3 linked regions of the Xenopus tropicalis genome follow. The protein of the gene in region 1 interacts with the protein of each later gene in a biochemical or structural test. Links are inferred from orthologs where the notes say so. Each region holds a gene or a part of one and is shown on either strand. Other genes may lie near its edges.

What was found.
Region 2: the proteins of myo6 (region 1) and dab2 form a complex in vitro, tested with the Homo sapiens proteins (7 studies listed by BioGRID). The link is inferred for Xenopus tropicalis from reciprocal best matches to the Homo sapiens genes MYO6 and DAB2.
Region 3: the proteins of myo6 (region 1) and tax1bp1 form a complex in vitro, tested with the Homo sapiens proteins (5 studies listed by BioGRID, with this or other methods). The link is inferred for Xenopus tropicalis from reciprocal best matches to the Homo sapiens genes MYO6 and TAX1BP1.

The regions. Positions count from the first base shown.
Region 1 is NC_030681.2:90,641,753-90,646,000, reverse strand, and holds the start of myo6 (unconventional myosin-VI), read left to right. Parts: upstream 1-1,326; 5' UTR 1,327-1,562; intron 1,563-4,248. UniProt on the Homo sapiens protein: Myosins are actin-based motor molecules with ATPase activity. Unconventional myosins serve in intracellular movements. Myosin 6 is a reverse-direction motor protein that moves towards the minus-end of actin filaments.
Region 2 is NC_030677.2:196,570,896-196,574,545, forward strand, and holds part of dab2 (disabled homolog 2), read left to right. Parts: intron 1-1,750; coding exon 1,751-1,882; intron 1,883-2,443; coding exon 2,444-2,527; intron 2,528-3,650. UniProt on the Homo sapiens protein: Adapter protein that functions as a clathrin-associated sorting protein (CLASP) required for clathrin-mediated endocytosis of selected cargo proteins.
Region 3 is NC_030682.2:42,513,405-42,517,698, forward strand, and holds the start of tax1bp1 (tax1-binding protein 1 homolog), read left to right. Parts: upstream 1-1,364; 5' UTR 1,365-1,476; intron 1,477-1,533; exon of another isoform or gene 1,534-1,672; intron 1,673-1,751; exon of another isoform or gene 1,752-1,826; coding exon of another isoform or gene 1,827-1,838; intron 1,839-4,294.

The sequences.
Region 1 (4,248 bases):
TAGAATGGCTGTGGGTAGAATGGCAGTGGGTGGAATGGCAGTGGGTGGAATGGCTGTGGGTAGAATGGCAGTGGGTGGAATGGCTGTGGGTAGAATGGCAGTGGGTGGAATGGCTGTGGGTAGAATGGCAGTGGGTGGAATGGCTGTGGGTAGAATGGCTGTGGGTAGAATGGCTGTGGGTGGAATGGCTGTGGGTAGAATGGCTGTGGGTGGAATGGCAGTGGGTGGAATGGCTGTGGGTAGAATGGCAGTGGGTGGAATGGCTGTGGGTGGAATGGCAGTGGGTGGAATGGCTGTGGGTAGAATGGCTGTGGGTAGAATGGCAGTGGGTAGAATGGCAGTGGGTGGAATGGCTGTGGGTAGAATGGCTGTGGGTAGAATGGCAGTGGGTAGAATGGCTGTGGGTGGAATGGCAGTGGGTGGAATGGCTGTGGGTAGAATGGCTGTTGGTAGAATGGCTGTGGGTAGAATGGCAGTGGGTGGAATGGCTGTGGGTAGAATGGCTGTTGGTAGAATGGCTGTGGGTAGAATGGCTGTGGGTAGAATGGCTGTGGGTAGAATGGCAGTGGGTGGAATGGCTGTGGGTAGAATGGCTGTGGGTAGAATGGCTGTGGGTAGAATGGCAGTGGGTAGAATGGCAGTGGGTAGAATGGCAGTGGGTAGAATGGCTGTGGGTAGAATGGCAGTGGGTGGAATGGCAGTGGGTAGAATGGCTGTGGGTAGAAAGGCAGTGGGTAGAATGGCAGTGGGTAGAATGGCTGTGGGTAGATGCATGCAAAATGCTCACCCGCTAGTCTGGAAGAGAAGATAGCAGTAAAGACTAAGCCAGGGCAAGGGGTCACAGCCAAAGAAAACGTAGATGAGACAGAGATATGGCTAATGTAGCAGCACTTGCCCTTTCCATGATAGAGCAATAACTATGGGCGGTGCAACCATATCTGCTAGAATAGCCTGTCAGTGCCCGGTACAGTAACACCTTACTCTTCTACAGCTGGTGCCCACTGCAACCATACTACATTCCAACTTAGCCAACTCACCCTCCAATTGGCACATGAAAGCCCCCCAAAAGCCTTACTCAGCCGTACCATATCATTTACAGTCCACTCCAGACTGAAGCCCCACGCACCGGAGCTATTTCCCTACCCTGCAGCTAAATCCCCTGAGAACATTAGCAGACAGGTGTTTCCCACACAGAGGGGGAAAAGGTCATGTGGCTGAGCCATCTGGGAGCCCCAGCAGGTACCCATCCCCCGTGCCACCAGTAGGACAGCGAGTAGAACTGGTACTGGGTGAGGCCACTGTCCCCTCCCTGTCCCTGTCCAGGTGCTGAGATCCGGGCCCCGCCTTCCCTTCCTGGTCACATTGTGGGATTGGCCCCGCCCGGTGACGTTAGCAGCGGCTGGGCTCCAGCACTGGGCGGTGAGTTGAGGGGAGCTTTAGCTGGCCGGCTGAGAAGGAGTTTTGGGTGAGAGACAGAGCGAGTCCGGTGCTCTGGACCTTGTCGGCCGCTCATCCTATCGTTGCTGGCCGGAGTGCGTTTGGGGCTGCAAGCGAAGGTCGGGGTGAGTAAATAGAGAGTCCCGGTGCTGTAAAGGCCGGGGATAAATAGTGCTGATCTTTGCACTGCATCCTCTTACATCCCCCTACCCCCGCCCCCCGCAGGGATCTGCTCTTCCATAACTCTCCCTGGTATCTAGCTCTGTGCGCTGGAGCTGTCAGTGTGTGCGCTGCTACTTTGGCCAGTTTTCTCTACTCAGCCCGATTTCCCACCCCCTCCCTATCCTCATGGACCTCTCTCTCTTCCAGGATGTTTCCTCTGCCTCTCAGAGATCCAATATGGAACTTCCTGAATTCCCCACTAGCAAAGCCTTCCCTAGAGATCTTGCCTTTAACTACATAGATCTGAGGGGAAATGTGCCTGATGTTGTCTGCTTCATAAAGTTGTCTCTCAGATTGAACTACAACTCGCAGATCCTTTGCCATATTTGATAAAATCTGGGAAGTGTAGTTTAACACCTACTATGGCTTTATTTTATGCATGTCTACTACACCCAGCTCCAGGTTAACCCTTAACTGTATGGCTGCACTCATCAGTAAAGTATTAGTATTTGGTATTATGTATCTCTTTAGGATTTGCAAGTGCCTGTTCTAGGGAACATAATTCGTGTCTATGTACACAAGTGCTGGTATAAAGTATATACAAGTTTGGGCCTTGTTGGAAATGATGCCTTGTTTTCAGATAGGTTACAGAGAGTCCAGTAAATGGGTATATCTTAATCTGCACTCATAACTAAACTATTACTCTTTGGCTAAATGTATCTCTTTGGGATTTGCAAGTGCCCTTACTTTTAATGTGTTCTAGGGAACATGTTTGCAAGTTTGTGCCTTGTTGGAAACAATATCTTGTTTTCAGATAGGGTCCAGAGGGTCCAGTGAGGGGGTATAGCTTAGTCTGCATCCAAAAAGATCCCTTTGCTTCATGCTTTGCATTTATACTTAAGATCAGGTCCAATGGGTGTTTAACTTTATCTCTTTCTGTGCTCGCAAACAAAGTGCATTAGATTTATCGTTCTGTAGCAATAGAGAGGCGAGAGTTGAAAAGGGTAATAATGCTTCCTGGCAGCCACACCTATGAATTCAGGCTATTCACCTGTGGATATGTGCTCCAACAGAGATGCCATACTGCCGGCTTGGCTGAGGCTTTTTCAAAGGATACAGCTGTCACAGACATACTTGGAATTATGCAATCCTTTTTTATTTTATGGTCTATTACAGTTTAGTATTATTCTTGTATCAAGGATCACTGTTCACAGCTTTGCTCTTCCTTGTGAACTTTGGTACAAGTGTACCTACTGTGTTCAAATAACTTAGATTTGTGTATGTTATAAGACTGACACATCATCCCTTCTTCATATTGCTGGAGTAGTCACTTTACTTTATCCCTACTATCTCTATCTATGCCAGCTATTGCTGCTCATTAAATACACTGGACTTCCTTAAAGAAGTTTTTTTATGAATTGCTCAGTGTGGTAATGACAGGAGTAAGGGTGAAGAGACACAGAGCTACTTAGTAGCAGCTGCTTGTCACGGCTACTAAAAGCCAGAAAATACTCTGCCATAGACAATACTGAGAATTGCCTCTTTAAAAAACAGATATAAAGACAATTATCAGTAAATATATATCAGCATTTTCTATTTCTGTAGCCATGAAGTAGCAGCTACTAGTAGCTCTGTGTGTCTTCACCATATTGCAAACAGAGGGATATGCTGTATATTTTACATTATGAAGCCCTGTCAAGGTGTTGCATGTTTAGCTTCTGCATTCGCCATACCAAATCACTGGCCTGGATAGGCGTGCGTTTACTAATTGCTGAGTGTATGTATGAATGATACACATCAGACATTTCTATCTGTTGTAGTTACAATGGAGCCATAAAGGCTAAAGATTAAGATGAACATTTTCAGAGTACAAGGGTGACTGCTGATGTAATCCATTCTGCCACTAATTAACAAACTGGCTGAACTATAAAAACTCACTCATTTAAATTTAGCATAAGTTGATTGCCCTGCTAATATTGATCCTGTCAGTGAATCAGTTGTAAAATCAGTGTATAGAATTGATTTCTTGCACTAAAAAATGAATTACTAAGTAACCTGTCAGGCAAGGATAAATTATATTTAGGGGCAGATTTATCAAAGTGTGAAATAAAAGCTCATTACAGAAAAAAACTATTTCTATTCATTCCTATGGAATTTTTTAAAGTTTTTTTATTAGTGAGTGAAAGTTTGAGTTCACCATTTTATAAATACACTTCTAAAAATGAATGAATAGTAAGTGAGTTTTTTATGATGAGCTCTAATTTCACACTTAAAAACCACCAAAATTAAGGGGCAGATTTATGTTTTTCTGTTCACATGCATTAGAATTTTGTTTTCTGAACTCCCTTTTAAGGGGGATTTGGCAACAGCGTGCACCACCTGGAGCTACAGGAGTTCATACACTCAGAAGAAGAGATAGCAGGCAAGGATCACATGTTACAGTAACAGCAGTGCAACTAGACCTCCTGATCCATGTCCTTGCCAACAACATTAGCCAGAGAAACCTACCTTCTCGGGTGAAAAACACAGCCCAGTCTGTATTGTGATGGACATCAGCTTAAGGCAATAGGTGCTAGTGATGTCACGATTTCAACTACTTCAGAAATAGAAATCCTGCGTAGCCTTTGTCTGTACACACCTAACATTGCA
Region 2 (3,650 bases), on another chromosome or scaffold:
TACTTGTGCTTAAAAACAATTCATCTTAAAAATATATGCCCTTTGGTGGAGGGTGATTTTTGTGTTTAGGGAGGCTAATTAAAGACATGGTCTACACAAATTCCTTCATAGTATCCCAGTTCATGTATTATACCCCAAAACACACATCAAAATAAATTCCATGTTAATAGCCTAGAACACATGGCAGGATAGCAACAATGTTAACTCTATATAAAATAACCCAGAACATATAGCACAAAACTTCCATGTTTGATACTCCAGAACACATGGAAGGATAAATACAGTTGCAATTCTATATAAAATACCCAGGAACAGATGGCAGGATATATACAGAACCAATTCCATGTATATGGGTGAAGACACACTGAGCTACTTAGTAGCAGCTATCATGGCTACTAAATGCCAAAAAAACCCTGCCATAGACAATACTGAGAATTGTCTGCTAAAACACATGTAGAGACAGTTATCAGTAAATGATCACCATTGTCTATTTTAGTAGACGTGACAAGTAGCTGCTACTAGTAGCTCTGTGTGTCTTCACCCTTATACATCTAGGAACACATGGCAGGATAAATACCGTTCCAATTCTATATAAAATACCCAGAACACATGGCAGGATAGCAACAATATCAACTCTATATAAAATAACCCAGAATATATAACACAATACTTCCATGTTTAATACCCCAGAACACATGGGAGGATAAATACAGTTCCAATTCTATATAAAATATCCAGGAACACATGTCAGGATAAATACCGTTCCAATTCTATATAAAATACCCCAGAACACATGTCAGGATAAATACCGTTCCAATTCTATATAAAATACCCAGGAATACATTGCAGGATAAATACCGTTCCAATTCTATATAAAATACCCAGGAATACATTGCAGGATATATACCGTTCCAATTCTATATAAAATACCCAGGAACACATGGCAGGATATATACAGAGCCAGTTCCATGTATAATACATCTAGGAACACATGGCAGGTTAAATAAAGTGTGAGTTCCAGGGATAATATTGTGTTGGTTTCCCCAAGCCTTTATTAAAACCCACCTATGTGACTATATTGGCATTCTAATTGAAATTCTCTCATTCTTTATGACTTGTATATTCTGTATTTCTATATTCTATAAAGCACAGCAAGACTGAAAGCTGTTGGATTTCCATTGTTTACATTGGTTGGTATTGCCAAACAAGGCCTTAAGGCATGGATGTCCTACCTAAAGGAAGAATGTGATCTTCCAGTGGGTCTTGAGCTGGTAACCAGTGAATCTGAAGAGCTATGTAAATGTCCACACTGCTCCATTACAGTACCCAGAGTTGTGTAGGGGGGTTGGCAGGCACCAATTCGTACCCCTTCAGATACGCTTCTGACACTGAGCCTGCATGGCTGATGCCAATTTAGGCCTGGCTTCTTTTATTCTTCTATAGGTTTATGGTTCCATGGTAGACTTTACATCAATGATTTCTCAGTGTTTTGTCTGCAGACGTCTAGACAGAAAAACTGGGTGAATGGTGCAACCTAAAATGTGTAGGCCCCGGTGGTTCTAGATACCGTATGCCATTGCTCTTGTACTACGGCACAAAGCATTTACAAATACGTGTTGTTGTTTTTTTAAGTTATAAAATGCTGATTATTTTTTGTTGGAAACAATTACACACGCACTGTTAAGCCTGATTATATTTTAAAAAAATGAATTGTGTTTGCAGTTTTATTAAATGAAATGTCTTGTCCTAGGTAATAGAGCATGAACATCCTGTTAATAAAATTTCATTCATTGCTCGAGACGTGACGGATAACCGCGCATTCGGATACGTTTGTGGAGCGGAAGGGCAGCACCAGTTTTTCGCAATAAAAACGGCCCAGCAGGTATGTCATGGGAGCCCTCGGCTGACTCAAGTTCTGTAAAGCTTTATTGACAGTATTTGAATACTTCATTGATTGGCCTACCCTTATCCCAGAATCATTATTACCAATCAATGCTCCCTGTCTTTAAAAATCTAAAATGTGGTAGAAATTCACTGAGCAGGTAGGTTCTAGGTGGCTGCAGGTTACTATTACAAAAGTCATGCCACAAGGGGGCACTGCAGTACCTACCTGCTCCAGTTATTAAAGAAAAGGGTCTACTCTAGGCTGAGTTTCATGGGGGTTTTTGCCTTACAAGGGAGGTGGTGGGACATTAAACGAGCTTGGGGGTTGTCACCGCTGACAATTAAGAAGCCTCATTTGATAGCTCACCTTATGATGGTCGGATAACTTGAGCTTGAGAATAAGGTGGCTACCTTTTCTGGAAAAAAATACCGGCCTTGCTAAATTTTTTATAATTTTTTTCAATTAGTAACATTGCCATCAAGCCTCATTTTCACCATCCAACCCTACTTGAGAATGAACTAAGCAGACCAATAAATAATGGTGTCTCCTTTCCCACAGGCTGAACCTTTGGTTGTCGATCTAAAAGATCTTTTCCAAGTTATCTATAACATAAAGAAAAGAGAGGATGAAGACAAGAAGAGGGTGAGTTTGGATTCACCTTTCTGCCTCAATCTAATTTATTGGCGCTTACCTGTAGCTAGCAGGTCTATACAAAGAAGCTTCCAGCCCAAGCAACCTGCAGAACAGGAATGTGTTTCCAGGCAGGAATGCTTGTGTTGGATTTGCCCAGCCAACCTTTGGTTTCTAAAATGAAAGCCTAGTTTAAATGGGAAATTGCCTGGATCCTGTCTTCATGGGTTACTCTTACACTTACAAATGACAGTACTGTGGAACTATGGCATGGAACAGTGTGTAGAATATATTCTTCTGCACACTATTAAATAACCCAATTGAAGCTGAGAGGAACACTGTCATCAGAAATAATGTCCCATAGAGAACTATGGGAAATGTCCTAGCTAATGTACATGAATCACAGCGTTTTCCCCATATCCTCTACAAAAAGGGCATATTAAATAATCAATGGTACGGCATTTAATATTGTGCTAAGAGAGATGATTATAATAACATTAGGGCTCATTCATTAATTACCAGCAAAGCTCAAAAAGGGGGTGCAATCCACCACGGCTTTTGCCCATTGTGCCCTGTCCTGCACAATGGAAAATTAGCACAGGTCAAAACCATCTTGTGAATACAGTGCTGCCTGCATTGTTAGTGCTGTATTCATAACACAAGTGTTTTTTTAAGGTGTGTTAAGGGGTGCAGTTTTGCTGCTTGTGCACTTGCATCCAGGGTGACAGCAAATTACACCGGTTAAGGGGGTAGAAATAGGAGCATGGCTTTGCATCCATTTAGCACTTGCATTCCTAAATAGAGATGTAGCGAACTGTTTGCCGGCGAACAAATTCACACGAACATCGGGTGTTCGGAAGTTCGCAAACTTTTCGCGTATGTTCGCAATTTGGGTTCGCATGGCGTTTTTCCGCTGCGTTTTTTCTCGGCCTAAAAACGCAGCACAAGACACAAATGGCGTTTTTCAGCAAATCCCGTTTCCATGGTGCTAATAGTGTGAAATAGCAAAAAACGCTGCGTATTTCCGCTAGGTCTGCCAGCTGCCTTTGCGGTTTTACACAACGCTGTGTCAACAAAGTATTTTTCAGAGACATTTTTGCCCTTGATCCCCCTCCTGCATGCCACTGTCCAGGTC
Region 3 (4,294 bases), on another chromosome or scaffold:
TGGCGAGGTCGCCAAGTGAGTGGATCTTCTCCCGATATCCCCACCTATGGGTGGGCGATATCGCCTAATTTGGTTGTTTGGCCCTGGGGTCAAATGATCGAATTAGAACGATGGGTATGGGTGTCCAGTGGTTCAGGGGCCACATCAATGAGCTGATGCAGTCCCCGGTCTGACTAATGTTTAAAGGAGAAGGAAAGGCTAATAAAGAGTTAATCTCAAGCTGCAGGCATACCTTCAGTTCTCTCAATAGTGCCCTTAAGTCTCCCCATGTTTCACCTGTTCAGATGATCAGAAGCCAGAACATAAAGAAAAAACGCTGAGTTGTGTAAAGAAAGTTCCCATAATGCCTCGCTCCTGCACCAAGAGCAAGTCGGGTGTACATGCTCAGTTAGTTAGACTATGAGTCAGCTTCCTGCTGATTGGCTCAGATCCACATTCCTAAAGGGGGAGTGAGTTCTTAAATTATTTAAATCAACACATAAATTTTTTAGTGAAAAGAACAGACATTTATTGCCTCAGAAAATGTAACAAAAATTCAAAAACACATAAACCATACTATACCACAGTGGAAAGGAAAACCCAGTGCCTCATGGTACCCACTCTAGGAGATTTAAATTGCTTAACTTTCAGGACCTTTTAGTGAATTTAACTTAAGTTTTTCTGCTCAATTCATGTTTTTTTGATTATTAATTTAAAGCTGGAGTGAGTTCTTAGCATTCTTGAGGGAGGGGAGAGCTGCGTGTCTCTGGCAGAGGAAAACAGACACAAGTAATCTTTTGAGAGAGAACTCAGTGCAGCGTTTCTGTCAGTGCTTATGGCTGTATTTACATAGACCTTTCTGATAAAGCTTACTTAGTTTTTACCTTTCTTTCTCCTTTAAACCGAATCAGTCTAAGGGACCAATATTGGCAGCTAGAATCAGCCCATGTATTGCCACCTTAAGTGGGGGGGGAAGCAGTTTGGGCCACTACTTACTTGAAAAGTCATAGTCTATTCTGAATCCCAGTCCAGGCCTAATTTCTCATATTGCAATAAAGGTGTACATATCCTTCTCACTTAGTAATAAAGATAGTTGAATGTTTTAAGAGTTAACCGTAAAAACACAATTTCACGCCAAAGAAACTTAATATGGAGCCTTTTAACGAAAGATAACTGTAAGTGACCCGAAAAATACGTTTACATTCCATCAGCCATAAGAAAAGATTTTTTTCTCCCTCTCTCAACTTGTCCGCTTACTCGAAGCTGTGCCAGGCAATGCGTTTCCGCGTTCCAGCTAACGGAAGTGACGCAAATATACACAGGCAAGACCCAGTGGAAAGAAAACAATCCCTGCGCTTGGCATGCGGAAGCACCTTAGTGCGCACTGGATTATTGGGGTCAGACGTTCCCTGCTTCTGTTTCTGTCACCATCTGGCTGACGTAGGCGCCTGTACCGGCAGAAGCACGCCAGCGCGACCAACGCAGCCTTCAACACAGGTAACATGTTTTATAAGGGGCACTGGGTTCCACCGGGGCAGAGCGGCAGCAGTGTATGGCACTGACCGAGTTTCTCTCTGATGGCGAACGTCAGTGGCCTTTCATGCACTGCCTGCTACTACGTAAGGGGAGCTTAGAGCTGGTAACGATACCGTAAGGGGTTGGGCTAAGCTTCCCAGCCCGTAGCGGGCAGGCTGTAAGTATATATAGGCGACTGTAGGAGATCTGTGCGAGATCTGTGCTGGAAGTTACTGGGAATGTCTGGGTATGAAGGTCAGGGCCCTCTGTGACGTTTTTAGAACGGTGTCTGGCAGTGGCATCACCAGTGGCTCCGTGTCCGACCTCAGTTAATGCTGTTACCTGTATGTATATATGTATGTGTATAGGTATATATATGTGTATAGGTTTGTGTGGGGGGCGGGGTCATTTCTTTATCAAGACTCTGACTCAGCTTTGGAAAGTAAGTGCTTGTGTCACTGCAGTACATAATAGTACAACCGTAGGAGATATTATTATTACGTAAGGGAGCTTTTTCTGGTGACTTACTGTCAGCTGCACCCCTGTCATCCACTAACTGCTGTAATAGCAACCAAGCTGTGTTAGTGGTAACATGGTTATACTCAGGAAGGTTATGAAACTGAAAGCCTTCCACTTTTACTCACCTTGTTTTTAAAAGGAAAATATAATGTTGATAAAATTACCAGTAGCCATGCCTTTTTTATGTTTTTATTTTTTTTATATTTTTTATATTTTTTTACCCGATGATTTTTTTTTCTTTTGTTTTGTTTCTATTTTTTGGGTACTATTCTCAGTAGCAAGTAGGGGCCCTGCTTTTGGAAGTAATTCAGGGTGCACCAAAACACATTTACTGAAAGAAAAGATAAGGGAGAATTAAGGTGGCCATACACGCACCGATATTATCGTACGAAACCTCGTTTCGTACGATAATCGGTGCGTGTATGGCATGTCAGCGAGCCGACCGATATCGCAGGAAGCTGCTGAAATCGGTCGGCTCGCCGATCGGCCAAGTTAGAAAATTTTGATCGGGCGCCATAGAAGGCGCCTGACCAAAATTCTCCCTTCAGAGCTGAATCGGCAGAAGGAGGTAGAAATCCTATTGTTTCTACCTCCTTACCTGCCGATTCAGCCCTGAATGGTGTGTGGCGGATCTGACGATGTTTCGTGCGACCGACGGTCGTACGAAACATCGTGAGATCGCCACGTGTATGGCCAGCTTTACTAACAGATCAAGGTTGTCTGTAGTTCCAGGTTTCCCTTGTATGCAGGTCTGTAGACCAGGCTGAGGGGACACAAATTCCAAGAAGTATATTTGTAAACTACTTTTGTTAGTATTGCTCGACTTTGTGTTAATTACATTTGTTAATGAGTGCCAGTAATATACAATTGTGTATATATAGAAGTATACAGTGTTTAGTGATTTCATTAGTTATAGTTATGCTTATGAATATAATTTCTGTCTCTTGTCTCACTGAAACTTGTGTATTGTTATTATAAATAATATACCCCCTGTGTGTAAAATATGATGACATAAAAAGTCATCTTGGAATTCCATGACCATTAAAAAAGTACTTTGCCTTCCACCTTGTTTCTTTATATGGTCATTGAACTCCTGGATGACTTATATCCTTATATTTTACAGTTGGGGTTACCTTATATGTATACAAGGATTCATCACCCCTCTTACTTTGTTTGTATATGGTAAGGCTTCGGTAAATGCAAAGCTGTGGTGATAACACCACTATCTAGTCTTGTACCTATATTTTTTGTGGGGGAGGTGGGCAGGTTATCAATGGAGCTTCCATCTGAGCAAACTTTGTAATAAGCTCTGTTTATGGTATGATAATCCTCTTTGATACAGAGGGTGACAGAACCTCTACTCTCTGCACCTTGTATTGTCAAGTGACAAATTGGTGTTCAGTAGTAAGTTTGTTGGGCTTGTTGTGTCTGTATAGCCCTGAAATCACCAAGATTATAAATTACTCCTCGTTTAATGTTATCCCTGTTTGGTTTTACATCCCTGAAAATCAGTATTTTGGGCAGTTTTGTTTAAAGCTTACTATAGTCTCTGAAGAGTTTGTTTACATAGCTAAGTTATTTGTACACCTAGATGAGGAAACACTATTTTTTCTAAACAAATTGTTTAGAGTACTTAATTTTGTGTTTTCGTATTACATATGTGTTTCTAGCATCTCTTGTTTTTTATTATTGTTCTTAGGTGATCCTTAAGGCAGATTTGTTAATTCAGTACAGATAATATGGATTCACAACTGCATTATTGAGTTTCATATATTACTGAAATTGTACACTTTAAGTGTTTTTTGTCTAAACATGTGTAAGTTTATTTTTTTATCTGAGATGTAATAAAGGGTGGTTTTAACATTCAGATGAAGTAAGCAAGCTTACAGCTTGGTTTTCTCTAAATTCTTTAGTGGGATTTCTTATACAATTATTTAGCTTTTCATCATGAGGAACACCATCCTTAATTGTGTATTATTACACATTTTCAGTTTAAGGTCATAGCCACTTGTGTTTCCTCTTCTCACAGTTATCCTATGTGGCAGAGCCCCTCAAAATGCGTTATATTTCATTTCACCAAACTGGCATGAGGTTCTGGGTCCTTTCATAAATACTAACACTGGCTTCTAGTCTGTCTAGCACCTTTGGATGACACTACAAGCTTCATAGTGGTGAGGTGCATCTCCGGTAGTACCAAGGGCTGACTCTTCATGTGTAAGACAATAATAATTAGGCAGTGTAATTTTAAAATATTAGCTAAAACCTGTTTATTTAACAGATA